Linked DNA regions of Nothobranchius furzeri. The protein of the gene in region 2 interacts with the protein of the main gene of each other region in a pairwise test. Links are inferred from orthologs where the notes say so. Each region holds a gene or a part of one and is shown on either strand. Other genes may lie near its edges. The genes, in order: spred1, cdkn1a and bccip.

Region 1 (11,079 bases), on a different chromosome or scaffold from region 2:
AGCAGTCCAGCAGCACAGAGACGCAACAGGAATACAGACGAACTCGCCTGCCTGCGCCGAGGAGAGGCATTACACAACACCGGCAGAATACTGAGGATGCTCGGAGAGGAAGGCAAAACTGACAAAGTCAAGGACGGCAACAGAGGAAGGGAGGGAGTGTGGGATGGAGGAGGGCAGGCACAGGGGAGTCAAATCCCACCATCACCTCCTGTAGCTGACATTCACAGGAAAGACTGGACGCTTCTATGATCAGTAAAAACTGTGAAGTCACTCTGATATTTGGAGGACGTGCATCATTGCTGCAGAAATCTCACGACTGCAGCTGTAACGACACATTCATATCAATTACAATTAAATTCTTTTTTTGTTTTTATCTGTATTAGTTGAATATTTATTTTTGTTTGAATAACTCATAAAGCTGTTGAAACTGAAACCAGACTCCAAGTATAAGATGAAACATTTCTCTTTTCTAATACAGAACAAAGAAATAGGCCACTTTTGTTATTTTACTTAAACATTACTAAATCAACAAGCTGATTATTAGTCTTTATTTTGAAAAAATAAATAAATAAAAACAATCTGAAGAATAAGCTCAAATAATAACACTGGTAAAGAAAAACTCTCATTAAAATCAATTCTTTATGTTTTCTTTCCTGCTTCATATTTTATTTTACGAGAAAAGCAGTCCGCTAAGCCAGTGTTGCCGTAAAACTTCCTGTTACCTAGACGCTGCCTGGACTTGTGCCCAGATCCTCAAACCTCAGATAAGCATTTGTGGGCAAGAGGAGACTGATGCCCAGCTGTGATAAGCGTTTATGATAGGTTTTGTTGGATCTCCTCTACACTCCCTATGGTTCTAAGGTCTAAAACGTAAAAAAAAAAAAAAAAAAGAGAGAGAGAGAGAGAGAGATAATAGCCTCCCAGCTAGCCAGCTCACCTCTTGTGTAACATGGGGCTGGGTAGCAGATTGCTGAGCTAGCAACACTTCTACTAATTGGATGACTTTGCAACTTCTGCTTCTATACAATAAAAATATTGCTTATTAGGAAGGAACTCCGCACAGCAAAATCTAAGTAATCTTTTAAGGAAACTTATGAATACTACATATTATACTACTAGCCTTTACCTTTTTTAATTACTTCACAAAAAAAAAATAATAATAATCCAGCTCAATGAAAGATCTCCTGAGTTCAGCCCCTATCTCACCCCTTTCCTACCCGCATTTGTATTATACCATCCCTTCTCCAGGCAAAGCGTTGAGCAGCCAGTCCCTGCAGGAAGTAGCGAGATTATCCGAGCAGCTGGGACTGATATGATATCACGAGCTGGTGTCACGATTGGGTTCAATGAACAAGTAGAAGTGACGGTGGAGTCATCAACACTTATCGAAGCTTCGCATCACTTCTAGAACAGAGGTTGGCCAATACGAGACATAAACAGAAGAAGGCAGAAATAAATGTCAATGGTGCATTCATAAAAAGCCATTCGGCTTATTTCAAATGTCTAAGTTAACGGCAATAACCTGAAGCTAGTGAGGGCCAAACTCTCGGGAGTGAATTCTGAACAAATCGGATCAGACGAGAAGAGAAGTGAGAATTCTGGAAGTGGTTTAGATGTTTTTGATCGGGCTAAAAAAAACAGTAGCAAAAGTATTTTTAAATCAAGGAACATTTTGCTGAGTAACAACCGACTGATCTGGTCTGACCTGCTTTAAAACGCAAAGACACACACAAGACTCTATTGTAACATGCCCACACCTTGATTGATGTCCTCGATGGCTCGGCGTATGCCCCTATCGAAGGCTCGAGCGTCAGCGGGGCTCTGGAACGTCAGCCCAAACTTCTTGTCATTGATTCTCCAGTGGTGGAAGATGGGGTTGACCTTATTGTACACCAGGTTTCTCTGTAGAACACACTCCAGCACCACCTAAAATCATACGGACACACACCGTTGTGACAGTCAGCTAGGCATTTGTGATGTCACTGTTTGGTTTAATGGTTTCAGGATTAACTTTATACATTGATGCACATTTAATCCATCATCCTACTTCCTGATGCGCTTTAATGTGTCACATCTGTTCTGATGTGTTCTTTCTGGTTATGGGATGGCATGTGCAAGTCTAGAATTTCAAAAGAAAGAAAAATGACAACGAATTCAGTCATCTCTCGTCAATTTTAGAATAATCTCTAAAACACAAGCTTGTCTTGAAGTAGGTTGAAGAGGAGTATGGGATGTTTTGAAGCCAGGAAACCCAAGAGCCAAGCAGAAAGAGAGGATGTGCTTCTAAAACCTTCCCTAATCAGGGCTTCTGGCCGTCTCCCGGCCTTCCTCTAGGCAGATTAAATGAAATGAGGCATGGCCATTACGGTCCGCGAGGTTTTCACTGACATGCACGAGAGGAGGCTTAACAAGGTGTGAATGTGTGTGTGTGTTTTCACGGGATCATTGCTGGAGCTGGTGCGTTCAAAATATAAGCAGTAGATGCCAATATGGTTTTATAAACTCAGTCCCCGTGTCACTACCTGCCACAGCCTAAAGGAGGGAAAATGAGAAGAATTGATGTGAGAAGATGGGGTGGCAAAGAAGTGTGGCGGGGGAGGAGGGGTTCGAGGTGCCTCTGGGGGGGTGACTGTAGAGGCGAGACTGAATGGAGCCAGAGCAGGTAAGGTGAGCATGCTGCAAGGCCTGACAGAGGGAAAAAAGTATCACAGTTGCATGGCAGGATGACACTTAACACCGCATTCCACAATGTGCTCAAAGAAAAGCGAGGAGGAGGAGGAGCTACCTTTGTAGAAAAGAAGACAGAAGGAGCACACAGGCAGGACATGTTAACAGAGACATCCAGAGGTGTTGCAAAATAAACTTGTTCGTAATGAATATAGGCTGATGAGTGATTTGTGGTCATTTCTAAAACAGCAAGGTTAACTGTAGAAACGCATTGTGTCAGATAGACCTGGGCTGCAAGGTAAAGCTATTCAGAGGAAGCCTTGGCAACGACACATTCACAGCTGCATCAATCAGAGGTACTCAACGACTGCTAATGAAAGAAAGCGAGGTGGAGTGGCAGGGAGATTAGCCAGAGATTTGTCATAATCCGAGAGCTGGTATGGCAAGTTATCATCGACCGAAGAATCAGAGAGAGAGAGACAGACTGGAGGGAGGGAGTAGGAGAGTGATTGGTAGCTATATAGAGAGCCAGCTGAGTCATCACCAGCACACTCTGCGCCGCATCACTGCGCTTACAGACAAAACCCCTCCAACTCGCTTCTTCTGTCTCCCATCCGTATGGCTCCGCCTCCATTTCCTGCTCTTTCATGACAAATGACTCTTTTCTAGTTTTTGTGACATCGTATGTATCACAATTACCACCACACTTTTCCTTTTTTCCTCTGGAGTAACTGCATTCCTGACTTTTATTTTCAGCTGCTAGAAACAGAAAAGTGTTTCTGTCCATTTCCAAACTGATTAATCACTGAAAAGGAACCCTTCTCGTCAACATAAATTAGACGTAGCTAGAATATGGTAGCCTGTGTTCCTGTTCTATGTTTCAGACAAACTAAAGATGGCTTCCAGAGTTATAAAAACCCACTCCATCTTTACTCTTTCAGTTTTAGAAATCACTCATATGACATAATTATAGTCTCTTGTTTAGGTCCTAAATAAAAACACCGGTGTTACCAATTAGAAGAAATCACTGTGGCAACAAGGATTTTTATTTTAAACCAAGGCTAGCATTTAATGTGGTTTTCTTTGTAGCCGCTGATTCTTCTGATGCCCCCAGACAGTTGGTAGCGCTGTGGTTGACGCTGACACCCCAGCCCTGGGTGGCATCCTGACTAACCTACATATGGGTTGGTGTTTGTTGTGGCGGCTGGGAACTCTGGCGCTGATAGGGGTGTTTCACCACATCCCCATCACAATTGCTTGGGGTCTCTGAGCCATGTCTTTTCCATGTCTGGACAACAGAATTCTCATCACGCCCTTCTCTGTGCCACACACGCGCCTGGATAACGTCACAGATGCAATAAGCATGAAGTGAGTTCAGTGGAAGAAGATTAAAAACCGTGACTCAGACGCCCCTGTTACGAGCCTCTGCTGTCAGATTGTCTGGGATCACCAGATTCTGAGCATCGAGGTGGCCTCGTTCGCCTCCTGGAATGCAGCTTTTCTCACACAAATAGATTTACACCCTTGAAACCACAGATTATTAAAGCCAGTCTACTGGATCTGTCTTGCATTTAAAGGACAGAAAGACAAAAAGTTCATGAGCAGCTACTTCAAACGCCGTAAATAATAAAGTGACAGTAGACTACACCCTTTGATCCTTTGGAGACAGCTAAACATGCTCTTCAGGCTGGGTGACAATATTAAGAATTAAGAAGAAAGGTGCTTTGCTATTAAAAGGCAGGAAATAAAAGTGTGGAAATACTAAACTCATATTCTATCCATGTTCTTTCCCACATTCTGTCTGATGACATCATCATGCATCACAGCGTTATGCTGTTTGCTCCTATTTTCAGAAGACTGAGCGACGGAGGAAGGCCAAAAAACCCACTTCCTGTTTGTGTCAGTGTGCACGAGAGAGATGAAGGGAGGGTGTCTGGAAAACTGGGGTCCACAGCATTGAGAGAACAAACCATTTCCTGTTTGTGAAAATGAAAAGCAGGACATTTGAGATTGTCTCACCAATTTGTCTTTGAGCCGTTCGCCCCTGATGTGAAACTCCACGACGGTGGGACTCGGACTGGGACTGGGGCTGGGGCTGCCAGGGCTGAGGTTGCTGCCACTTCCTCCGCTGCCTCCACTGTGGGTGCTGCTGATGTCCTCTGTCCGGCTGACCTTATAGACAGTGACACAGCTAAGGCCTCCACCCCCCAAGGGGAGCCACCCACCGCTGGAGTCATCCCGAGTCATGACCACTGCTCTCACACGCGCATAACTGTCACTGGGAAGGAAGGAGGGAATAAGGCAAAGGGGGAGGGATGGAGAAAAAAAAACAATATGGTTAGCTAATTCATACAAAAACAATACATTTAATTTCTAACGGGATTCTTTTTTTAATGATGTCACAAGAACTACAAAAGCATCATCAGACCTACTCAGCCTCAGATTTATAGATTGATTTTAGACTCAATAAGCTAGCTTTAACCTTGTATCTAATGCATAAAATTACACACAGGACCAACCTAAAGAGGTTTATCGTACCTTGTAGAAAAAGTATATGCATGGTTTATATTAGAGATGCACCGATCTATCTGCCGACGGATCTACCGACCCTGATCTTGAGTTTTTTCCAAGATCGGTGACTGGCCAAAAACGGCAATCGGTGCACCCCTAGTTGATGTTAAAGCAAATTATTGCTATAGAATAATTTTTTTGGACAAGTGTGTCAAAACAGGTACAACAGTTTGTTTTCTAAATTAGAAAAAATGAAAGTCTAAAGGAATAAATATGATTTTGTAGTTCAAACAGCAATGCTAAATATGTTTGTTTATATTTGAGAACAGGGATGTGTATTTTTGAAATGCTGGCGATACGATACGTATCACGATACAGAGGAGATGATACGATATTTCGCGATATATTGCGATACATTCAGTCAGACGTTACAAGCAAATTTTTTTACTGAATTTATTGTAAGAATGTTCAATAAACAGTCCAAACTGATACGTAACATGTTTAACATGAGGTATCTGAACCATGATGGAGGGATTTACAGTTCAATGGTGGAAACAAAACCTGTTGCACACTGCTGCCAACTAGCGGGTGGCGATTGAATTGCACAAAACGAAAAGAAAATACACAAAAGTTTGCATGTAAATTATTTCAAGAATTAGATACACGGCTTTTGAATATCGATGTAATAATCGCATGAAAAAATATCACGATATATTGCCATATCGATATTTCCGATACACGGCTTTTGAATATCGATATAATACTGATGGAAAAAATATCACGATATATTGCCATATCGATATTTTCTTACATCCCTATTTGAGAACATTACATGTCCAGTTGAAACTGGCATCGTTTTCATGAGTATTCATCTTGGTTTTCTCAATAAAAGGAAACTGAAACATTGACATAATCTGATTTTAGTTAAAAGGGGCATTATGGAAGTTTGACAGCCAAAACATGTATAGAAATAATAAATTTCTTCTTCATACATTCTCCTGCAATGCCCTGGTCCTGTAGAATGAGCCCTGGCATTTTTACTGTGATTGTCTGTTTTTCTGTAAAATCACAGAAAAAGAGATGCTCGGGTCGAGCAGGCTGCTTCATGCACGTTCACGTAGTGCCAACTCAGCGACTTATTCGCTGTTCCTAACTAGGGATGGGTACCTTTGACATTTGAATCGATCCGGTACTAATTCCCGGTACCTACGAGTCGATACCGGTACTTAACGGTACCAATTTTCGATACTTTTGAGTGTTTATTATTTTAATTCTCTTTTATAATTAAATATATATTTTTCTCAATATATATATATATAACCATATTTGATAAATATCACGATAAATAACATACAAGTTTGTATTTTAACATCGTCCTTGTAGTTTTATAAGCTGATAATTAAACTGAAGCAAACATCTTTACTGTGAACTAAATTTACTGTGTATCTTCATTCCTTTTGCCGTCCTTTTTCTTTTGATTTTTCCTACTGGGAAGTTAGAATTTCCGAGGAGAAAGCGAACGCACCATTAGCTGGTAACAACGGTGGCAATGGAAGCTAACATATCAAGCTAACGTTATCTTTAACAGTTTATTTAGCTGCTGGAGCAGATTAAAACGATGATGCCTCAAACTTAGATCGTTGTCGCTGGTTTTACCTTCATCCATTCACCCGTCGCATTTAGTAAAGTAAAGCCAAACTTTAGAGCGCGTTCATGTTCTTCTAGTCGGAAATTCGGAGTTCCGAGGAGAAAGCGAACGCACCATTAGCGAAACGGAAGCTAACAAATCAAGGTAACGTTATCTTAAACATTTTATTTACCTACTGGAGCAGATTAAGATGAGGATGTCTCACTTAGATCGTTGTCTGTCGCTAGTTTCATCACCCAGTTACCCATCACATTTAGTGAAGTGGACCCAAGCTTTAGCGTGCGTTCTTTCTACCATGCTTGCTCTGTTTACAACGGGCTCGCAGGGACCGGCAACATAACGCTCTTGCGCATGCGCAACTGTCTTGGCAGTACCGAAACGAGGCACCGTTTGAAATGACGTGAATCGGTGTTCGGTCGGTACTATGGAATTCGGTCGGTACCTTAAAAAGTACCGAATTCGGTACTCATCCCTATTCCTAACGCCTAGTGATGAACTTAGCTACATTTCTGAGGACCCTTAAGCTGGGCGTACACTGTGCGACTTTTTCACTTTTTTGAGCCGATTTTCCACTCGTGCGAGAATCCACTTGATCGGGGCGAGTTTTGCGCCGAGCGTCGTGTAGTGTACAGGGGGTTATGAGAGGCGATTAACACCAAGTGACCAGCTACCGATCAGCAATCGTGAGCTCGCACGGACTTCTGGCGTGTTTAATAGTTTGCTCATCCCTCGTGAGGGTATTGCACTGTTGAAGCGGCGCTGCGAGCAGCTGCGACCCAAAATGTATCAGAACCGCTCACGGCGCATGCGCAATCCTGCATCAACGCCGCTCGCTCGCTATTTCCCTAATAACACACGCTGTTCATTTTTGTTTCTACACGTTTTTTTTACTCACAAAGATTGTCAAGAAAGCGTGTTAGTCGTGTTCATGTCAAATTAAACTGATCACAAAACACAGATTTACTTTCTTCATTTCGTTTTACTCATCCAACCCCCATAAATCCCTGTGTGTCCTCCTGCAGCACTCCCGAAGGACAACAGGCAAAACAAGACAAAAAAGTCTGACGTGTTGAGTAAAAACTGCTATTTTTAGCATATTTTTAGGGCCGACGTGTTGCTACCAGACGTACAGTGTGAGCAGTCAGGTCGCATCCGAGAACTGGGTCGTACAGTGTGAGCGCATGACTCGTGAGATCTGCCCTGCGAGGAAGTCGTACAGTTTGAGCTGAAGCTGAGTGCTACGAGTGAAAAAGTCGCACAGTGTACGTCCGGCTTTAGCTACATTCTGTAGAACTTTCTTCTAGATATTTCCTGCAAATTAGCAACAAAATAGCCATTTTCGCTCCGAACCGTTCTTTGAACATTGTTTCAGCTGTCATCAAGGATATAAAGGTTACAGGTACTAGACACGTCACTGGCGCTATAGCTCACCTGGTAAGACGTCGGACTCTCGTACTGAAGACCTGGGTTCGAAACTGGATGTGAACATAGTTCGTTTAGAGTTTCTTTTTTACATTAATGGTATATTGTTTTTTACAGTAAGATGCCTAAACTTTTATTTGAGACTCGCCGAACGGCATTGAATTCACAGATAAAAAAAGATGTGGGTTCAACTTTCATTTTGGAACAATTTTCAAGCAAGGGAAGGGAATGGTCTGAGTATGCAGGAAGACTGACCCATCTTAAACCTTTGTCGGCTGTGCTGAGGAGAAAGGTACAGAACCAAATGATTTAATTAATTAGCTGCGTGTTCTCCTGTCCTCTGTCCTCCGGGCCACACACACACACACACACACACACACGGGACTGTCTCAGCTGTTATTTTCGTTAAGGAGTGTGCACGTACAGCATTCGCGCCTCGTGCACGAACCTACTATTGCCGTTACGCTTTTGTCCTGAGGGGGCAATCGCGAGCATGAAAATTCAAAACTCTGTAAAGTCCCTTTAAGACTAAATCAGTATGGGCAAAAATCGGTATCGGCAAGTCAGGTTTTCACAAGATTGGTGATCGGCCAAAACTGCAATCCGTGCACCCCTAGTTTTTATGCTTATATTTGTCTGAAGCTGTCGGTGTATGTTTAACCTGAGCCAGAGGGTGACTGACCATGTGGTCAAGTTCAGTCTGTGAAAACTTCTGATTTCCAAATTTGCATCGGTAGCAGGTTTAAACCAGACAGAACATAACAGCAGGCTCTGGATCACAATCCCTTTCAATCACAAATGAATCCCTGTAAGACAGCCTCAAACTATCAATCACGTCATCTGATTGCTTACAAATGACTAGTACAAATGCACAAGATGTCACATCAGAAAATGACAACAAAATGTGCTTTTCTTTGTTGCACTTTGCAGTTCCCTATAGCGCTTATCTGCGACAGGCTGCTCACTTACTATTTACAGTTTAAAAATGGGTGTTTAACTTCTAAGATGGCAATAAACTCACCAAATGAAACATGCTAACAAAACAGACAAACAACTTTATATTTCAAATATGAATATAGGTCTCATTCATTTTACTGTTTTCCCTGCTTTCTTGCTTGAAGTCATACGTTTCCCTGATTAGATAACAGCCTATTGGGCCATCGGAAACGACAAAGGTCAAGGTGCGCCGAGGGCAGTGTTTTCCACAAATGAATGGTAACATATTAAAGACGAGGACTCGAGAGCTATGAGAGAGAAAAACAGCCCTCAACTTGATGACTGGATGTCTTAAGATACACCATTCCGTGTAAGTTTAGCCAGCTCACATGATGTCACAGAAAATGAGGTGATTGAGAGGAATGCCCTCCCAAAAGTAGTTGAATACTGAGAGATTTCATTAACAATAACTCAACGTTTACAATGAATAAAATGGAGCTCTTGCCACAAAAGCTGAACAGTTGCTTCCTGTCCTTTAATGCCTCCTCTTTTAGCCGGCTCAATAACGCTAACCTTTGGTCTCCAGCCTTCCACGCCTTTGCCAAACTTCAATATCCTGGGTCTGGGTTAGTAATTACTCTAAAAGCCAGGGAGCATTAAATCTGAAGCTCTTTCTTCATGTGAAAGCACTTGGCACCTTGTAAAAGGTGACTGGAAGTTTCTCCTAACGATTGATGAGATTGACAAAAATAAAAAATTACAAACTAACTAGGATCAGATAAACTAATCTAATGAATGAATCACAGAAACATTCACTCCAGGGGAAACAGCAAATGAGTTCCAGATTTATTATTATTATTATTATTATTATTATTATTATTACTACAGGCAGTGTATTATTTTAGAAGTTCTAGTAATGTAAAATACTGATGAAAAATATAACCTTGAAATAAGCATAAAATACCAAACTAATAAGTTATTTCATGATAATATTAATTCTTTTGTCTTGTATGAAGTGACACAAAATGTTCCTCCCATCTTCCACTGAATCAGTGCTATTAGTAGGCTCTAAATCTGTGTTGGCTATCATCTATTTCATAGAACTACATATATTGGGGTGACGGTGGCACAGGAGTTAAGTGCTCGCCCCGTAATCGGAAGGTTGCAGGTTTGAGCCCCGCTCAGTCTGTCGCTGTCATTGTGTCCTTGGGCAAGACACTTAACCCACGTTATCTGCTGGTGGTGGTCAGAGGGACCGGTGGCGCCAATGCTCGGCAGCCTCGCCTCTGTCAGTGCGCCCCAGGGCAGCTGTGGCTACATTGTAGCTCATCCCCACCAGTGTGTGAATGTGTGTGTGAATGGGTGAATGACTGATTGTGTTGTAAAGCGCCTTGGGGGGTTCCAGGACTCTAGAAGGTGCTATATCAAATACAGGCCATTTACCATTTATTTGAATCACTCAATTTGTGTCGGTCTCAGAATGTGTCTCCTACACCTATCTCCTGCATTACCTTCTGATATAAAATACACTAAGAGTTGAAAATCTTGACAGATCTGCGTCACACTGTCACATTCATGGAGCCAGCCAACTTGACTCGTGACGGGGAAGGCGGTTTTTGTTTTAGTGTTCAGGAAACAGCAGAGAACGTCTCAGCTAGTAGAAGCTAACCATTCGCATTAGCAACTCCACGACACAGCAGAACTCCTCCAGGCTTGTGTTATTTGTGTTTAACTCATTCACTGCCATTGATGACAAAAGTCATTTTAAATCCAACTGTTTACTGCCAATGACGACTAAAGTCGTCATTTGCTCTTTTTTTTTTACTGTGTGGGTGTCGGAATGAGCCCCCACACCGTGAGAACATCCCAGCTCTAAAGCCGATCTTCATATGTGT
Region 2 (8,193 bases):
CAAGATCAGCAAAGCTTTACATGTCAGTCAGAATGTAGCATAAGTGATCAAAAAATGTAAGAAAGATGGAAGTGCAACCATCTTACAGAGATGTCCACGGTAGTTAACATCTTGACAGGATCATCTTCTGATAAGGAGGGTTTAGAAAAATCACCATGCAAGTTCACTGCAGTTAGCTAAAGCAGTAGAAAGCCAAACTGGAGTGACCGTTTCCCATTACACCATACTGCACACATGGCACAGGACTGGCATGCGTGGGTATCGTTCACGAGAAAGCCTCTCCTAAAGCCCATGCGCAAAAAGCCCGCCTAGGATTTTCTAGGGCCCATGCTGAAAGAGATGAAGACTACTGGGACTCTGTACTTTGGAGTGAGGAGACAAAGATCACTGTTTGTGGAACTAATGGTTTCAATACTGTATGGCGTCGTAAAGGTGAGGATTTCAAAGAGAAATGCATGGCGCCTACAGTGAAACACGGTGGTGGCGGTGTCCTTATGTGGGGCTGCATGAGTGCTTGAAATCAACAACGTACTGCTCTATTCTGTAGGAGAAGATGCGGCCATCACTCCGTGCTCTTGGTCGTCGTATGCTTTTCCAACACAATGATCCAAAACACACATCTGAAGCTACTGTTGCATTTCTGAAGAAGAACAGGATGAAGGTGATTGAATGATCACGTCTGTCTCTTGATCTGAACCCAGTCGATCACCTGTGGGGAAGCAGCAAGTTGAGCATCACTCTCCATCCAGCATCCAGCCTCTAAAAGATATGATTCTGTAAGAATGGAAGAAGATAGATGTTGCAATATGTCGCCAACTTGTTCATTCCATGCCTAGAAGACTTGGTGCTGTCCTTGAAAATCACAGTGGTCATACAAAACACTAGATGTAGTGGTTTTTGTTGCAGGGTGTATTCATTTTTTCTTCAACCAGTTTTAGTAAAACTGAAGATTTTGTGTGTGTAAAGTTATATTATTAATCTTAATTTCATGTTTCATGGAGTTAAACAAGTGTTCAATAAAACCCAGCGTTGTGAAAATTCTGTTCTTCATTGAGCTGCTAATTACATTTGTACTTTTTAAGAAGGATGTACTTACTTATGCTGAGCACTGTACATACTCAACGCATTACACACTGTGAAGATGATGAAACCAGTATTTTTAACAAAGTAACTTTATTACTTCTGCAGATTAATTATTAAGATAGTGTTTATGCTAATATTACATACTGAGTTAAGCACCAACTAGACCTTCAATGGACAATGGAGGAAAGATAAAAGCCATATGATATTAAGCATATAATGAAGTAATTTAGGTTCTTTCAAAACTTCAGCGCTCTAGCTTCTTTGCAATTGAAATACGAGGTTACTCAGCTGTTCGGTTGTTGCAGCTTTTTGTAGAAAACAGCTGATGTTTAGTCCCAAACACACTGGATACAGCAGTAACTATATAAACTAACAGAATATAGCTATGCTGTGCTGCTGATGCCAAGTCCACATCAGCACCAACATAACAAAAGACTCACTGTGGTCTGAGAGCAGCCAGGCCATGGTGAACTACAGTTCACTGTTTTGCTGGAAACTGCTGAAGGGCAGTGAGATGGTGCCTGGCAGGTGACTCATACTGGAATAAACACAAAATGACTTCAACAGCAAAAGTGGGTGGAGAGAAACTTTTTGGGTGCAATATGTAATTATTAAAATGTTCTCTGGGTTTGGATGCCTGGAACAGACTAGTCAGGGCCCCTTAACGTGGCAGGATTCCCCTGAGCTCAGAGCTACAGGTGGATTCACTGGAGTTGTTAGTCTCACTTGTTATTCACTGTTCAGATCACAAGTCACTCATCTTATCAGGACTTATATGTGTAATAATCTAAAACACTTAAAGAGACAATGTGTAGTTTTTACTGTTAATCTCTGGAAATATCCATCTAATTGTTGAAAATGAATTAAACGATGCCTAGTTCTTGAAAATATTGGCGGCTTTGAAACATATAACCATAAAAATCAGGTCTAAAATACACAGGATCGGGTGTAAGGCTTGATTTATGCTTGACGCGTCCGCGAGGTTCGCACGGCTCCGCGCGGCAAAATTGCATCATTTTAACAACCACGCCCCTCCACTGTGCCTCCGCACGGACCAAACTTTACACATCGCGCACCTAGGAAATTTTCTAACCACGCAGACGGTCGGATGCGGAAAAACATGGCGGACTGGCAAGAACTAGTATGGCAGAGGTTCGTAAATACAGACATTTGTATGATTCAGCTCTCAAAGATCACCGTGATCAACATGTTGTTAATAATTCTTGGAGAGAAATAGCTCGCACTGTCGGAAAAGACGAGGACGCTGTTAAAAATGCTGGAATGTCATGTTGTAAACAACAGTAATTTTTACTTCTACTATGGTGTAGTGTTGGATGCATGCCGTAGAGCTCCATGCTGCCCCCTACAGTTTGGGAGAATATTGGCTCACTACAGAGACCGCATGAACCATAAACGCTGCAAGTTGTGAAGCGCGTTCCATCCGCGTTCCAAGCGGAAAGTAAATGCGTCAAGCATAAACCAAGCTTTAGTCTCTGGGCGATGCCATATTATATATCATGTTTCATTCTATGGCAGCCGGTGAGGACTAAAAGCATTCACTGAGTTTTAACAAACAGTTATAAATTTTTCACCATTCACAAACATCGCTGATTTACACATTTACCTCTTCACTCGTCAGTGATGAAAGGGATTTGCTTGTTATTTTGCTGGAAGTTGAACGATCTGATGAAGTAAACATTTTAAAAAAATGTGCTCCCAGTGATTTTTGACCCTAATGGCCATCCGTTGTTAAGGCCTCACTCAAACACAAAAATGCTGCTCCCCCATCGCTAGGGAAAATACAAATTGTCACTTTAAATAGGCTCTTCAGCTGATCCTGGTTTGTTCAAAACACCACTTAAAGAGATTTTTCAGCCATTTAAAAGTTTTCTGTATAAAAGCTATTACCACCTGAACAGCCTCACCTCGTAGAAACAGTTTACATCCTGCTGTAAGCGCTAGTCCAAAGAAAAGTGTTAAAACATCTCTAACATCCAAGGTTTCATAGCAGCTCATTTTAATGTTATTTTATATGTTTTAACATTGGCGTCAGTTTTGCTTTACAGTCATTTGTATAGAACATTATGGTTATTTACAAAATAGCATAGTGTGTATTTCTGATGCATCCAGGAATATGAGGTCAAGTCAGGCAGGAATGTCTTAAAGAGACAAAGTGTAGTTTTTACCGCTATTCCCTGGAAATATCCATCAAACTGCTGTTGAAAATGAATTAAATGATGCCCAGTTGTTGAAAAATACTGGCAGCAAAACTTTTGCCATTCATAAACATAGTTGTTTTTCACATTTAGATATGTACTGCCCCCTATCGCCATGGAAAAAACACGCCGTCACTTTAATGGTTCTGTGAACAAAGCTGTGTCATGTGAAAGTGATGGTGGTGTTCAGAAAAAAAGTAATTATTCATGATTAATGATGAAGTTTTACACAGAAGCTCATTCAAACGACTAAAATCTCTTTAGTAAAAATAAATATGCTTACTTGTCCTTCCTGGTGTGTTTGTTGTGTTTATTTTTGACACAATTTTAATACATGTTTAGTTTGTTTACACCAGCTGCAACTGTACAAAGGTTCAGAATATACTTTTTTTAAAGAATGGGGTTTTTTTGTTGTAAACTTTATCAATTAAAGTTTTTTCCAGGCTTCAGAAAAGTGAGCAATAGGTGGACAATAAAGACATTTTGACCTAAAATCATCAGATTAACAGACTATGAAAGTAATGTCTTCAAGAAACTGGGAGAGTGTGTGCGTGCATTTGTGTGCGTGTGTGTGTGTCTGTCTCCAGGATACTGCTGCACTCAGTCATGTGCACTGAGAGGAGGTGGGGCAGCACCTCTAGGACCAGACGTCCTGGCCTGAAATTCCCTCCAGTACCTTGCCAAAGCTTCACGTGTGCTTGTGTGTTTTTGGGACAAATTCCACGTGCGTGGGACAGATAGCGCCACCTCTGTTTGAGAGGAGGAGGGTGTCTCCTCCCACCAGTTTAAGTCAGTGGAGTCTCTGTCCATGGCTTTGAGAACACTTGTAGATTTCTCCGAGACTCACTAATACTCTTTATCCTATGGATCTGTGGAGGCTTTAGGATCAGTTACCTCATTCTCAAACTTTGCCTTACATCACACTGAAACTTGGAGACAAGCAGCGAGGAGGTGGAAAAGCTGACTCAGTAGACAACAGCTTTAAAAGAGAGGAGATTTAGAAGCGAACTGCACCTGATTTGGCTCAACATGTAAGTAAAACACATTAAAGATGTTATTTTATATGTAAGAAGTTAGTAGTTGTTAAATTTAAAAGAGCTTCTAAGCATCTGAGTAAGATTTATGATTTCACAACCTTTAAAACTCAACACACACACACACACACATATATATATACACTTTTGTAGCTCATTAATAATTGTATTCTAAACATTTGAAGAACAAAAACGTTTTTACAGGACTAATGTGTTCCTAGAGGTGTGAAAAGTTGACATAAATGGATCTTTGCGATCTCATTTTTGCACATCCAGGAAATCCATAAACTCTTGTTTGGTGGTTTTAGTTTTTTTTACATGTCTGTGTGTGTGTGTGTGTGTGTGTGTGTGTGTGTGTGTGTGAGAGAGAGAGAGAGAGAGAGAGAGAGTGGGTGAGTCCAAACTGTGACATCCCAGTTTGACACGAGTTCCAGACTCACGTGGAGCAGAGTTGTAGCTGAACTGGGCTGGGTCCAACTCAGTCATGCATGACTAGCTCTCCCGCCAAAGCTTGAGTCACTCCTCCCAGAACCACCCTGCCCAGTAAAAGAAACGCCCTCCCCCTTCCTCTGTGGGACCAGGGCAGCGCAGGGATCCAGCAGGGATCCTTCAAACCCTTTTATTAACCTAATGATCCACCCACAATTGGGGAGCTTTATTCTGAGCCCTGTGCTGTGGGTGGGAGCGTTGAACACTGCATACATAGTCTTAGTGGTCATTAGATGTGTCCAACAAACCCATTTTTTAGTAAACTCTGATACAGACTGTAGTCAACTGACTTTACTACGTAGATAATTTTGATCAAAATGCAAAGGGCCCTTCTTTTTCTCATGAACAAACCAAACTGAACTCCATGATAGGAGCCAGATCAAGCTAAAATAGAGACATATTTCACTCTCATATTTTATGAATCAGAAAAAAGGGTTTGTGCTTGTGTTTGTATGAAAATAAAAATCAGAATCATATCAGATTATAACAGATGACTTGTTTCATTGACACATTTTTATTTATAACACTAATCAGTATTTTACTGAAACGCATCTTCACGTCAAATTGAAGCAGATTTTTCCAGATTCCGTTTGCAGATAACTGGAACAGCTTCTGTAAAATAAGCTCGTGTCCTCTTAATCACTGATAACGTATTTTATTCATCTCCCAATCTCATCTGCTGCACCGTAACTGGACGGGCAGGGACTGTTTTCCTTGAATGCTTCCTTCCTTCTTGGATGGTCTGAATGACCTGTTTCCCAGGTCAGAGTCAGAAAACAGTCACATGTTTCCCTCAGTTTCAACGTAAACTGAAGATGAATTATTTCTCTGGTGTTTGCCTCCGAGCTGTCTGTAGTCGGAGTGACAGTGCCACCTTGTGGTTTATCTCTCTTACACCAAACACCACAACAGCAGAGGACTTGCCCTTACATGCCTGTGAGAGATTATGCCCAGACATGTACCAGAGAGGAGGGCTAGTGACTCACTGCTGCTGCTGCACTGCATTATAAAAGCCCGTCAGCTCACAGAAGCAGTCTAGTTCACTGAGGAGCTGTTAGGCTAGAACCATGGTGAGTCTGACTAAACTTTGTTTAAATCACTGGTTTGAAAATATTAAAAACATTTAGTTTGTGTACTTTTTAGACTGTGGACAAAATAGATTGTGGCTTTTGAAACTAATCAGTTTTCCTGTTTTTACCTACAGTGCAGAGGGATGGCTACACTTCACAAGCGAGCCCTCAGTACTCTAAGAAGGAACGGTCCCCCTCGGCGGAGCCTGTTTGGCCCAGTGGACCGAGAACAGCTCCAGATGGAGTACCGGACTGCCCTGCGTAAAGATCTGGAGGAGGCTTCCCAACGCTGGGGGTTCGACTTCTTCTCCGACAAACCTCTGGAGAGCGGTGATTTCCAGTGGGAGATTGTCCCAGGTACCAGGGTGCCACTGCCCTACAGATCCAGCGTCATCTGTGCAGGACATGCAGAGGGTCAAAGGTCAGCAGGTGCAACCAAAAGAGGAAGGGTGGTGGTACCAGAGAGGGAGAAAGAGAACTTCCCCCAAACTCTAGAGAAATGTTCTCTGAGTCTGGAGAACATGGAGACAACATCAGAGACGGAAGACAAATCAGGAATGAAGAGGAAACAGACAAACATTACAGGTATGTTTAGATATTTTTTATATCAAATTAGAAACACTCATCTTTTCTCATAAGCTAAGTATCCTCTTCTTTAACCCAACAGATTTCTATCAGGCTAAAAGAAGAGTTGTCTGGCTGCCGAGGAAATCCGGGGAGTGATATTTCCTTTGAAGGTGCCAAAACTCCCAAGAGAACCAGACAAAGAACCAGCACCTCCTTCAGGAATCAGTTGTTCCACACCGAGCAGCGGGAGTGCTGAATCATCCAACAAAAAAAAAACAAAAAAAAGAAAAAAAAAACCCAGAAGGCACCAGGCTAATTAAGATGCTGCATGTGTGAGGGGTCTGGTGTTTTCTGTCCACGCTGCAGTTAAGAAGGTGACATTTGAGCAGAGAAGATTAACAGTAATCTCTGGAATCAGTGGATTTATACTCATTTGGACTGAGAGCTCGCCAAATTGCTGACTGACATTTGTTACGGCGCGTCACACAGCTCTTAACCCTCTCGGTCTCGTTTTGATAAAAGGACGAACAACTAAGTCCTTCAGGGGTGCTTCTGAGTTAAAAAATGCTCATGAGATACTTGTGTGGAGTAACCAGGTAGGTAGGTTTTAACTGTTGCAGATCTGCGATGCCTGCCTCCAGAGGGTTAAAACACAATCACATCTCAGTTTGGTGGGACTTCTGCCTGTTTGAGGATGAAAAGCAGACGTGCGAACAAATATCAGGACTCAGATTAATACGTTTCTGTGGCAAAGCCGCAGGAAAGCTAAAAACAGGAGAGCTTTGTCTATTTTGTTCAAATCTATAATTGTTTTTCTACGTCTTTTTATAGGAGTTTTTTTTTTAAGTGCATTATATTTTACATCGGGGGTTCCCAATCCTGGCCCTGGAGGGCTGGTATCCAGCAGGTTTTGTGGTTTTTCTGCTCCAACAGACTTGATTCAGTGGTTGAAACGCCTGTGCAGCAGCTCATCAGGCTCTGCAGAAGCCTGTTAATGAGCTGCTGATTGAAATCAGGTGTGTTGAAACAGAATTCAAACTAAAACATGCAGGATACCGGCCCTCCAGGACCAGGATTGGGGACCTCTGCTTTACGTAGTCATCGGAAAACGGCTTATGGAGTTGTGATATATCCTTAAACATGTGGTTGCATTGCTTAGACTATAATCAGCAGAAGTGCCAACTTTTTCCATCTCATCCACTGATTTTTAAAACCGTTTAAACCTCCACAACTGCCCTGCTTAGACTCAGATAATGTAGGTTATATCTGTAGCATCATGTCTCTAAAACATTTGTAGGACACATATGATGTAGTAACAGTTAGGCTTTTGTTTGTTTGTTTGTTTATATTTGTAAGTCAAAAACATTGCAGTGTTGCACATAAATCCGAGGGTGGTGTTTTACATGTCTTTGTGGCACATGTGTTTTTAGTATTTTAAGCTCCATAAAGGACAACTGGGTGAAAGTGTTTTAGTGTACGTAACCACATGCTTTATTGTATTGTATTTGGAAGCAAAGTGCAATTTTACCAGACAAAGGGTATAATTTATTTTATTTTTTATCTCTGTTCCGGCAAATCCTGCTGCTATGGAAAATCTGAATGGTGACACACAAGGTCCTGTAATGTTAATCTCTTACGCATTGAACTTTAAAATGTTCACCAACTTCCACAAACAACAAATGCACTTCTGTTATTAAATGCTCTACATGCAATTTTTGGTAAAAACTTCAAATT
Region 3 (11,708 bases), on a different chromosome or scaffold from region 2:
GACATAAACAAGTTTGAATCTTTACACTAGTGACATAAACAAGTTTGAATCTTTACACTAGTGATATAAACAAGTTTGAATCGTTACACTAGTGACATAAACAAGCTTGATCTTTACACTAGTGACATAAACAAGCTTGATCTTTACACTAGTGACATGAGCAAGTTTGAATCTTTACACTAGTGACACAAACAAGCTGGAATCTTTACACTAGTGACATAAGGAAGCTGGAATCATTACACTAGTGACATAAACAAGCTTGGTCTTTACACTAGTGACATAAACAAGCTTGATCTTTACACTAGTGATATAAACAAGCTTGATCTTTACACCAGTGACATAAACAAGCTTTATCTTTACATTAGTGGCATAAGCAAGATTGAATATTTACACTAGTGACATAAACAAGTTTGAATCTTTACACTAGTGATATAAACAAGTTTGAATCGTTACACTAGTGACATAAACAAGCTTGATCTTTACACTAGTGACATAAACAAGCTGGAATCTTTACACTAGTGACATAAACAAGCTTGATCTTTACACTAGTGACATGAGCAAGTTTGAATCTTTACACTAGTGACACAAACAAGCTGGAATATTTACACTAGTGACATAAGGAAGCTCACATCTTTACACTAGTGACATAAACAAGCTGGAATCTTTACACTAGTGACATAAACAAGCTTGATCTTTACACTAGTGACATAAGCAAGTTTGAATCTTTACACTAGTGACATAAACAAGCTGGAATCTTTACACTAGTGACATAAGGAAGCTGGAATCATTACACTAGTGACACAAACAAGCTGGAATCATTACACTAGTGACATAAACAAGCTTGGTCTTTACACTAGTGACATAAACAAGCTTGATCTTTACACTAGTGACATAAACAAGTTTGAATCTTTACACTAGTGATATAAACAAGTTTGAATCTTTACACTAGTGACATAAACAAGCTGGAATCTTTACACTAGTGACATAAACAAGCTTGATCTTTACACTAGTGACATGAGCAAGTTTGAATCTTTACACTAGTGACACAAACAAGCTGGAATCTTTACACTAGTGACATAAGGAAGCTGGAATCATTGCACTAGTGACATATGGAAGCTGGAATCATTACACTAGTGACATAAACAAGCTGGAATCTTTACACTAGTGACATAAACAAGCTTGGTATTTACACTAGTGACATAAACAAGCTTGGTCTTTACACTAGTGACATAAACAAGCTTGATCTTTACACCAGTGGCATAAGCAAGATTGAATATTTACACTAGTGACATAAACAAGCTTGAATTTGCCACAAACATTCTGAATTTACAACAGATTTTCTCTACACCATTACTGATGTAAGCTATGTTTCTTGTTCCAAGAAATAGCATCTCCTCACAGTCAAGAGGTGCATTTTGAAAGTGTGTTGGCCCAAAAACCAGAAATAAATTTGTAGTGTGGCTATTTGGGCTCAGCCATCCATGCTTTAGCAGAGCTGGCAGCTCAGCGAGTTACTATTGTCGGAGTTTGACCCAGTCCAACAGGACCAGAAAAGAGGCCAGCTCATTAAAGATTGTACAACACATCTAGTTTAATGCAGCACTATAAGAAGTGGAAGTACAAGCCAAACATACTGTCATGTATTTTAAATGTTGCTCACTTTGCTGCAATAGTCTTTTATTGGTCTAAATTATCTTTATTTTAATTACTTCATTTAAAGAAAAGACAATGCATATTTATGAACAGCATTACAACTGTAAATATGCCAGATTGTAGCCTTAGGCTAATTTCCATCTGCAGTCCTCTGGCAGGTTAATGTTAAAAGAGAACAATATACATTTAGAAGAAAAAAAACAGTCAGGAACATATTTTATGAAAAAGACAAGAGTAAAAACAAATAAGTGTTCAGTTTTGTTATAAGGCAAAAGACAAAAAGGGATTAATCTTTTACCCTCACAAGGTTTTACCGTCAGATCTGGAGAGCCGCATGCAGGCATAGGCATAGGAGCTGAACAAGCTTCCAGCATCAATGATGGAAATTTGTTCAAAATTAGGATCATCTTGTCAGTCTGGCCCCTTAAGTTCATCTTGACTTCACAGCCAGAATGAGCTGTACTTATAGTTTATGTTGGTTCTTGTCCTTTAGAACCAAATGGCTTCCTGCACCGGCACAACTCAAAAGGCGTTTCAGTGCCCCAGAATGTTCCAGCGTGCTGAGGGGGATCACCTCACCCTCATGTTTACACCTTCAAAGCCAAAAACTCCAGTGTACATCCTCATCCATTCACAGCAATCTGTAGCTTTAAATATCTGACTTATAATAATTAGTTTACTCAATGTGAATAGATATTAGAATAAACATTAAGTTTTGTTCTTTGGTTGAAGTGTCTCATAATGACTGACAGATCTGAGTTGAAAGTGGTGTCAGGATTATTTTCTGGACACCCTGATCAGGATTGAGCTTCCCATATCGTGACCCTGCTTTGGAACCAAAGTTTCCCCTCGTGTGAGTTCATTCATCAGTTGTAGCGGATTAGCATTTCCACTTATATTTGTAGTTTTTAAACTTACTCTGAATTCCTTGATAATGCTAATTTGTTTTATTCCTCAATTGTTGTGATCTCTATGTGCAGTAGCGACTTCACGTTTTATATGTTGGTATGATTTTCAGGTTCAAATAGCACTAATGCATTTCTTCTAAATGCTGCCTCCTAGTGAGAGTAGAGACAAACAGCAGGTCCTGTTTGTAACCCTAACCCTACACAGAGAAACGATCCGCAGTGATGTAAGCAGCAGCTGCGCAGCAGGGACTGAAGTGTGATCAAGTGAGCTGAAACAAACTATAAGGGGTTACCAATTTATTACACGTTAAAAGTCTTTATGCAACATTCAACTTTTCAGATGGCAAACTTGTTAAATGGGCAACAGGCTATTGAACACCACTCTTGCAGCATCTAAATGTTTGGCCTGCTGTCTCCTTGACTGTGATTGATCAAAAGACTTGTGACCCACAAAAATACTTTAACAAGATAAACTCCACTCCTTTCTCTGATAATGGATTATTATAAAAGAGACTGAAACCTGACAGAAGAATCTGTGTTCAAACAGAGCGCTTTGACATCATTTTAATCCAAGTGGAGACACCAAAATCATAAACGGTCATTTTAAAGCTCATAAGGGTCAGACTAAGTCTAAACCTGACAAATTGTACACAGCTGCCCTTTGCATTTACAATTAATTGACAGTTTGTAGTCATTTTTAAACAAAACCCACTTAAAACGGACACTTTTGAAAGTAATCCTGCTTTTGATCAACTGATGAGGCTGCAGGTCTTCACCGTGTCCTGAAATGTCTCAGACTGTCAGGTATTCCTTCAGTTTGTCCATAACTGCAGGTATTCTGTCTGCGGGGACCAGCATCACCGTCCTGAATGGCTTCATGGGAACGTCGTCAAACGACCACCTGCCACTCAAACACGAGTCTGCATCATCCTGCACTGAGTAGTGGAACTTTATGATGGCTTGCTGCAACAACAAACCCATCAAAGACATTATTATTAACAGTTTGAAGGTAAAACGCTCAAGTTACTGATATAAACTCCCCTGTATGTGATCACGTATTTAAACAGAGAGCATTCACCTCGTAAAAGAACTCCTCCTCGGCATTGACAAACATGTACTCCTCTTTAGGAGCTCCTCCTCTGGCCGGGACGTTCTTGGCAGCTTCTTTGCACGTCTTGCTGACCATCAGGCAGTAATGACACTTCTCACTGGGTTTGTTGGTTCTCTGAGCTTCAGCCATTTCTTTCCTAAAAAGGACATGATGAATTTAGTCATCAACAAGCTTGGGAGATATTTAAGCCATTTCAGTTAGCATGAAAATACTAATTTGGGCTTGGCCATTTCTCTGAAATCACCAAACTTATTTTTAGTTTTGCAGAATTAAATGTATTGAGGCACTGTTTCATTTCATTGATTTTCCCCACAGATCCCAAAGAAGGTTAGTGTTTAATCATTTATTTTAGGCAAAAGCTGTTTTCTTCTTGCACTGAGAAACGTCATAAGGACAGATTTAACTTCATGTAATTTTTGAACTATGTGCTTGCTGTAGTTTTCTGGGGCAGCAGCATCAGCACCAGAGATCTCAGCAGGTTCAACAAATGCATTAATAAAGCTATGAAAATTCATCTGGCAGAGCCTGTAGATGTTAGGGTCTGTGACGATCCATGAATAAACTGCTTTCATATATAAACACATCCTACTGAGACTGGAGCTATTTTATGACAGATTCATTCAGATCTGCCGTCAAAAGTAAGGTCATGTTCTACTTGACTGCACCTTTATGTAGAGAATAAATGTTTCACCCACATGTGCACATGATCATTACGACAAATGTCAATGTTGATGGATATTATTTTAAGTTCTGAGAGTTACTTTTTTTCCGTCTCTGGCACCGTGTTGTAGGGCTGTGTTGGCTGACGCAGCTCTGCAATATCGCGTGGACATCGGGGACAGTCCCACTGGACTGGCAGACCTGGGTAGTGGTTCCCTTATTTAAAAGGGGGACTGCAGGGTGTGTTCCAACTACAGGGGGATCACACTCCTGAGGCTTCCTGGTAAGTTCTATTCAGGGGTTCTGGAGAGGAGGGTCCGTTGGATTGTTGAACCTCAGATTCAGGAGGAGCAATGTGGTTTTCGTCCTGACTGTGGAACACTGGACCGGCTCTATACCCTTAGGGGGATCCTGGAGGGTGCGTGGGAATTTGCCCAACCAGTCTACATGTGTTTTGTGGATTTGGAGAAGGCGTTTGACCGTGTCCCTTGGGGGGCCCTGTGGGGGGTACTCCGGGAGTCTGGGGTACCAGGCCCTCTGATAGGGGCTGTTAGGTCCCTGTATGACCGGTGTCAGAGCTTGGTCTGCATTGCCGGCAGTAAGTCGGGCTCGTTCCCAGTGAGAGTTGGACTCCGCCAAGGCTGCCCTTTGTCACAGATTCTGTTCATAACCTTTATGGACAGGATTTCTAGGTGCAGCCAAGGTGTGGAGGGCATCCGTTTGGTGGCCTGAGGATCAGGTCTCTGCTTTTTGCAGATGACGTGGTCCTGTTGGCTTCATCAGATCGTGATCTTCAGCTTTCGCTGGAGCAGTTCGCAGCAGTGTGAAGCAGCTGGGATGAGAATCAGCTCCTCTAAATCTGAGACCATGGTCTTGATTCGGAAAAGGGTAGAATGCCTTCTCCAGGTCAGGGATGAGGTCCTGCCCCAAGTGGAGAAGTTTAAGTATCTCGGGGTCTTGTTCATGAGTGAGGGAAAACTGGAGCATGAGATCGATAGGCGGATTGGTGCTGCATCTGCAGTGATGCGGGCGTTGTACCGGTCTGTCCTGGTGAAGAGAGAGCTGAGTCAGAAGGCAAAGCTCTCGATTTACCGGTCGATCTACGTTCCTACCCTCACCTATGGTCATGAGCTTTGGGTAGTGACTGAAAGAACGAGATCGCGGATACAAGCGGCCGAAATGAGTTTTCTCCGAAGAGTGGCTGGGCTCTCCCGTAGAGATAGGGTGAGAAGCTTGGTCATTCAGGAGGGGCTCGGAGTAGACCCACTGCTCCTCCACATCAAGAGGAGCCAGTTGAGGTGGCTCAGGCATCTGGCCAGGATGCCTCCTGGACGCCTCCCTGGTGAGGTTTTCTGGGCACGTCCAACCGGGAGGAGACCTAAAGGTAGACCCAGGACACGGTGGAGGGACTATGTCTCTCACCTGGCCAGGGAACGCCTTGGGATTCCCCCGGAGGAGACCTGGCCCAAGTGGCTGTGGAGAGGGGAGTCTGGGCCTCTCGCCTTAAGCTACTGCCCCCGCGACCTGACTCCGGATAAGCGGATGAAAATGGATGGATGGATGGCACAATGTTCTTGTAGTGCTGTTTCTTTTTTGTTCTTCAGAGGAACTTCTTATTCTCTCTGGTGATTATTTGTTGATAGGAGCCTGTAAGTGGTTAGACTGGGCAGCAAAAGAAGCACTCACTGGAGCTGTGTATGCAGAGGGAGGGCGATCTGTGGAGGCACATTGATAAAGCGCTCACTCAGCAGAAGTCCCACAGGTTTGCTTGTGTCATTTAAGATCTGCTCCAGCTGTTCAGTCACACTGTGAGAAGCATTCTTCTCACACTGATCCAATATCAGCTCCTTGATGTCCTCCACACACCGCACGCCCTAAAAAAAAAGAAAAGCCACAACCTTCAAAATTAAGTTAAAAATTCACGTATTTTACTCATCTTCAGAGATTACCTACCTTTCTCTCTGTGAGGTTGAGCATAGCAATAAATCCAAAGACTTCATCCGGGTCATCATCATCACTGTCCTCTGGAACTTCAGCTTGCTAGAACCAGATGAAGGAGGAACGTAATCAGAACAGGGGATAAAATGCAGCGCCTCAAAGTTTGGGACTGGAAAAAAACGACTCACTTTGATGACGCTCCCAATATGATTCTGCTGGATGATGATGTCCGTCATCTCTGCTGTGTCTACACGCGCCTTCAGGAACAGCTGAGTCCAAACTAGTAAAGATTAGTGACAACTATTCGTGACGCTTATGTGACAACAACACACAGTTCTGCACCTGCTGCAAAAGCTTCTTAATGCCACTGAAGTCGTTGTTTGAAATCGCATGGGCTTCAAAATCCACCACGACCTCCTGCAAGTAGAGAAGAAAAAAAATATGCATTTTAAACCAAAAATGATTATGTCTTCATGATAACATCACGGACATGCTAGCTAGCGGGTAGAAAGGCCACGTGGGTTTTGTGGATTAGCCACCTCGTCGATTTCCTCCTCTGACGCCTCGCTGTCGTCCTCTCCAGACTCGCCGTCATCCTCCGGACTCTCATCCGAGCTGTTGTCGCTTTCTTCGGGATTCTCACCCAAACCCACTGCTCTCCTCTTAGCGGATGAGGCCATGATCAAGCGTGAAACCCGTGTATATTTAAGTAGGCGCTGCTAAGGTTAACGGATAGCAGGAAACTGGACACGTTCGGGCGCCATTTTGGCTCAAAATGACTGTGGAATGGGCGTACACCCGAGAAGATCCGAACAGACGTCGACTCCATGTTGGCTCACGCGACTGAACCATTTCCTAACACTGGGGAAAACGTTGTAAATAATATATTGGAATAAAATAGAAAATATGTCTCTAAAATATGTGACATAAACACTAACTTGCATTAGATGACCTATTTAAATGTTTAAAATGTAAATATAAAACATTTTCTAATTTTACATAGATTTGGGGAGACATTTATCGACAGGCAATTTTTGGACATCTTATTTTTAAATGCCAATGAAGTCGTCCGATGAACAGCTGAAGGTGTTCATTCTTATGCATGTATATATGTCGATGTTATGCAGTTATTTCGTCTTTCCAACCGCATATTGTTGCAAATATAATTGCGCAATTAATGTTAAACAAAAACTATTAACGTTTATAGCTGAAAATCGACGTATTTTTGGTTAAACTGGAACGTTATCGTGGCTAATCTGTCAGTGTGTTTTGCAACAACAACAACAGACAGACCGCAACAACAGACCGACGTGCCCAACTACGCTAAAGCGGATTTTACGATACAAGTTGACGTTATTGTTAGTTTATAATAGTTTAGTGTATAATCTTTCCTATTCAGGGATCGTGACTCAACAGTGTTGCTATCTGTAGGTTGCATGTGACCGTTTCTGGGTGTAGCTGAGCTACTTAAGTCTCCACACCCTCTGATTTAACTACTTTAAATTTCTGAAAGCAGCTGATACCTTTCTAACAGATGTCAAAACCCACCTTGTGTTATTGGCTCCGTTGAACTGTCTTTTATTCATTGACAGGATGCGTGTTTTGCTTCTTAAAGACCCCAGAGATGGAGAGTCTGGACCTGATCCTTACATTAAGGTAGAAACAGTTTAACCAAATCAATGACGTGGTTTTAACTAAACACACACTGCTTTGTTGCTATGCTTTTTACTCTACAGGAGCTGGAATCACGTGGGCACAAAGCAACCCTAATTCCAGTGTTGTCTTTTAAGTTTATCTCAGCAAACACCTTGTCAGATAAGGTAAATTAAATAACATTATCTGAACCAGTGTGTCATTTACCTAACTTTCTATGGCTGCACGTGTAAACCACTGATCATTTTAATGTATTTATTTCATAAGCTTCTTCAACCAGAGAAACACGGTGGCTTGATATTCACTAGTCCAAGAGCGGTGGAAGCTGTGAAGCTGTGCTTGGAAGATAAAGATAGGAAACAAGGTCAAAATGAAACAAGCATGATTAAAGCATTAGCGTGTCTGTGTGCCAATTCTGCTTGAGAATTTTAATAATATTATTTGTAAAACAATATTTTTCATCCAGAGTGGAACAAATCATTGAAAGACAAATGGAACAGGAAATCCATCTATGTGGTTGGGAAGGCTACTGCAGCTTTAGGTGAGTTCTTAGAGCACCTGCAGACACCTTTTTTCTAGATGTTTTTATGGATAGTGCACGTTATAAACTAGTGAAAGATGCAGCCGGGTGTGACGAGCACCTGGTGTTCATACATGTGCGTAAAGTAGTGTAACTACCTTCAGTTTGCTGTTACACACAAGTGGCAGTAAGCTGTGAACCACAGAAACTGGATTTGATCTGGAAGACACCAATCAAGTGTAAAACCTTCCTAATGTTGGTTTTACCTTGTTAGTCTAGTGGCAGCTGACTCCATTGTCAGTGTTTGATTGTAGGAAGCCCAAGTCTCCTCCTTTTCCAGTCGGCTCATGGGTCTCTAAGAAAAAATAAATGCAAGTAGATGGGGCTATAAGAGCTGTATTCTAATATGCTTTGCCTTACGCCCTGAATCACTCATTTGTTGTGATTTAAAAATAGCTAGAATGTTTTTTTACATACGTAGACAAGACCTGTAAAAACCCGTTTTTTAAACATTTCTGTTATAATCTTTGTGCTTTTTATGATTTCAGTACAGAGCCTGGGTCTGGAGCCCGAGGGTGAGGACACGGGGACAGCAGACGTCCTATCACGTCTCATCATCGAAAGTACGATGTGGTTTTTGTTCTCTCATTTTTTACACCTCTGTATAATCATTTAATTGTTCTAATCTCTGAAATGAAGTGATATTTGATTCATTTCTTAGGAGAGGAAAAAAATATCCCACCACTTTTCTTCCCCTGTGGTTCAATTAAAAGAGAAGTCTTGCCCACGGCTTTAAGGGAAAATGGTAAGATTTTCCCTCTTTTGTGTCTCACGATTAAAGCTCAGGTCGGCGAAATACCCTCTGGGGTTAAGCTAATTAACAAAATAATAATTGCACTACCTTTGTCACATTGGGGATGTGTTTCTTTGTTTCCAGGGGTTCCCCTGGAGACTCTGACTGTCTATCAAACTACTGAACATCCAGATCTGGAGAAGAATCTAAAAAACTACTTCACAAAGCAGGTGAAACTCCCAACTCCTCTTTTATTTTGATAAAAACATAATTTTCATATATAACCAGTGTTTATTTGCTTTTGTGTTCTTAGGGTATTCCAGGGAGTGTAGGATTCTTCAGTCCGTCTGGGGTGAAGTTTTGCCTGGAAGCTGTAAGGAGGCTGTCAGGTGAACAGCTGACGCAAATTAAGGTAAAGTTTCCTTATGGTCAATCAAAAATATATGAAATGGATGATTATGGAGCATGCCACAGGTCTTCAGCGCTCATTCTGTTTCCAGTTTGCAGCCATAGGGCCCACCACACGAGATGCTATGGCAGCAGAGGGTCTGTGTGTCAGCTGCACAGCAGAACAACCAACAGCTCAACACTTGGCTGCAGCGATAGCCGACGCTCTTCAGTAATCAACCAGACAAATACACTTTTTATTGTTTCTCATTGTTTTGGGATTTTTTTGTCATTGTTTTGATGCCCTTTTCTTGATTTTGCACTGAAAAATGTAGTTTAGCCATTTTTCTTTCATCTCAGATTTGATTAAAAATGTATTTTAAATTATTTTTGAAAATAAACCTTAATCAGTTTGACAAATCTTGCGTAAAACATTTCTGTGTGTGTGTGTGTGTGTGTGTGTGTGTGTGTGTGTGTGTGTGTGTGTGTGTGTGTGTGTGTGTGTGTGTGTGTGTGTGTGTGTGTGTGTGTGTGTGTGTGTGTGTGTGTGTGTGTGTGTGTGTGTGTGTGTGTGTAAGCAGGTGTTGGCAAAAGTGTTTTACATCTTTTATTGCTCAGATGAAAGTGAAGGTGTCCACGGCTTGGTGACAGTTTGTTGAAATCATCGCAGCATGAATGACATGGAGGTTGGTCAAACTGATGAGTTTACTTTTCACGCACAACTGAGGAAAGTGTAACCTCCAGACAGTCCCTCCTCTAAGATGGGTGTGGAGAAACATTTGCTTATAAAGCAGTGCTGCTCCTGCTGTTAGTAAAAACTAACGGCACGATGCTGACTTCCATCCAGCTGATTGCTTTGCTCTTTCTGACCATCCCAAACAACGCGGAGAAACTTTTCCATAATCGGGATCACTCTGATGTTCAGATCCTTAAAACTCACCAGGCTCCTGTTATTACAGATGAATACAAAGCCGAGGTAATTTATAATGTGTGTGTGTGTGTGTATATGTATAAATATATGTTTGTTTGTTTTTTACCAATTGTATCTATAATAATAAACAAGCCAGCTCTGGGTCTTGCTTTAGTTATTTCTCTCTAGATATGGATTCATCAAGCCGATTAACTGGGAGGAGATCCAGACGGAGAGCTCCGACACTTATTTCAGTGAAGACATCCTGGATGATCTACAAGCCAAAATTCAGGAGGGGACCTCAGTGCCTCATTCAAGAGATGGTCCCGGAAGTGGCACTCATGATGTCCATGTGAGCCAAACTGGGAATCAAGCATTTATTTCAGCACTTAAAGAGTTCCAGAGAGTTTCAGATCTGCCTGTTACAGGGGTGTTTGATGAGGCCACCCAGGAGGCGATGAACAAACCGAGGTGTGGAGTCCCCGACAAGGAGATTGACGCCTACGTAGAGCCTGAGAACACTGATGGACCAGATACCGAAGACAGTCTGAGTGACAGTTTTAATGAGACAGGCATCAGCAGCTCTAATTCCTCTGATGATGACATTTTCAATTTTAATGATACAGATACTCTTCTCGTGGGTATTTCAAATGATACAAACAGGAACAGCTCCAGTTTCAGTGGTTTGGATGGTCAGATGGGGAAAATTAGTATGAACGCAAGTCTGAGTGACACAGTTAGACGCAGGAAGCGCCACCTTTCCAGTCTGGTGTCAAAAAGGCGGCAGAGAAGAGACCTGGATCAAACTGGTTTCATTGCTTTTTCTAAGAGTGTACTAAAATGGCGGCTGATCGGAGAAGGCTACAGCAGTCAGCTGAGTATCGAGGAGCAAAGGTACATCTTCAGACTGGCTTTCAGGATGTGGAGTGAGGTGTCACCACTGGAGTTTATTGAAGATATTAGGTCACCTTTGGAGGATGTTGATATCAGGCTGGGCTTTGGCACAGGTAGGCTTCAGAGGACACATCTTTCATTTGTTGGAGTTTAGAAAATGTGTGTGTGTGTGTGTGTGTGTGTGTGTGTGTGGGTGTGGGTGTGTGTGTGTGTGTGTGTGTGTGTGTGTGTGTGTGTGTGTGTGTGTGCGCGCGTGTGCTTGTCTGCAAAGTTGCAAAATA

The links.
Region 1: the proteins of cdkn1a (region 2) and spred1 interact in binary tests that used the Homo sapiens proteins (3 or more experiments, as listed by UniProt). The link is inferred for Nothobranchius furzeri from reciprocal best matches to the Homo sapiens genes CDKN1A and SPRED1.
Region 3: the proteins of cdkn1a (region 2) and bccip interact in a two-hybrid assay, tested with the Homo sapiens proteins (2 studies listed by BioGRID, with this or other methods). The link is inferred for Nothobranchius furzeri from reciprocal best matches to the Homo sapiens genes CDKN1A and BCCIP.

The regions. Positions count from the first base shown.
Region 1 is NC_091758.1:26,565,498-26,576,576, reverse strand, and holds part of spred1 (sprouty-related, EVH1 domain-containing protein 1), read right to left. Parts: intron 4,946-11,079; coding exon 4,687-4,945; intron 1,927-4,686; coding exon 1,758-1,926; intron 1-1,757. UniProt on the Homo sapiens protein: Tyrosine kinase substrate that inhibits growth-factor-mediated activation of MAP kinase. Negatively regulates hematopoiesis of bone marrow.
Region 2 is NC_091743.1:46,700,641-46,708,833, reverse strand, and holds cdkn1a (cyclin-dependent kinase inhibitor 1), read left to right. Parts: upstream 1-5,758; 5' UTR 5,759-5,889; coding exon 5,890-5,892; intron 5,893-6,026; coding exon 6,027-6,477; intron 6,478-6,559; coding exon 6,560-6,615; 3' UTR 6,616-6,926; downstream 6,927-8,193. UniProt on the Homo sapiens protein: Plays an important role in controlling cell cycle progression and DNA damage-induced G2 arrest. Involved in p53/TP53 mediated inhibition of cellular proliferation in response to DNA damage.
Region 3 is NC_091756.1:42,759,249-42,770,956, reverse strand, and holds bccip (protein BCCIP homolog), read right to left. Parts: upstream 6,951-11,708; coding exon 6,810-6,950; intron 6,688-6,809; coding exon 6,613-6,687; intron 6,540-6,612; coding exon 6,459-6,539; intron 6,373-6,458; coding exon 6,286-6,372; intron 6,207-6,285; coding exon 6,019-6,206; intron 3,809-6,018; coding exon 3,640-3,808; intron 3,525-3,639; coding exon 3,354-3,524; 3' UTR 2,842-3,353; downstream 1-2,841. Other genes in the region: uros (uroporphyrinogen-III synthase), read left to right, coding at 7,057-7,145, 7,863-7,926, 8,007-8,090, 8,191-8,287, 8,390-8,464, 8,992-9,066, 9,165-9,248, 9,381-9,466 and 2 more; mmp21 (matrix metallopeptidase-21), read left to right, coding at 10,453-10,599, 10,709-11,540. UniProt on the Homo sapiens protein: During interphase, required for microtubule organizing and anchoring activities. During mitosis, required for the organization and stabilization of the spindle pole.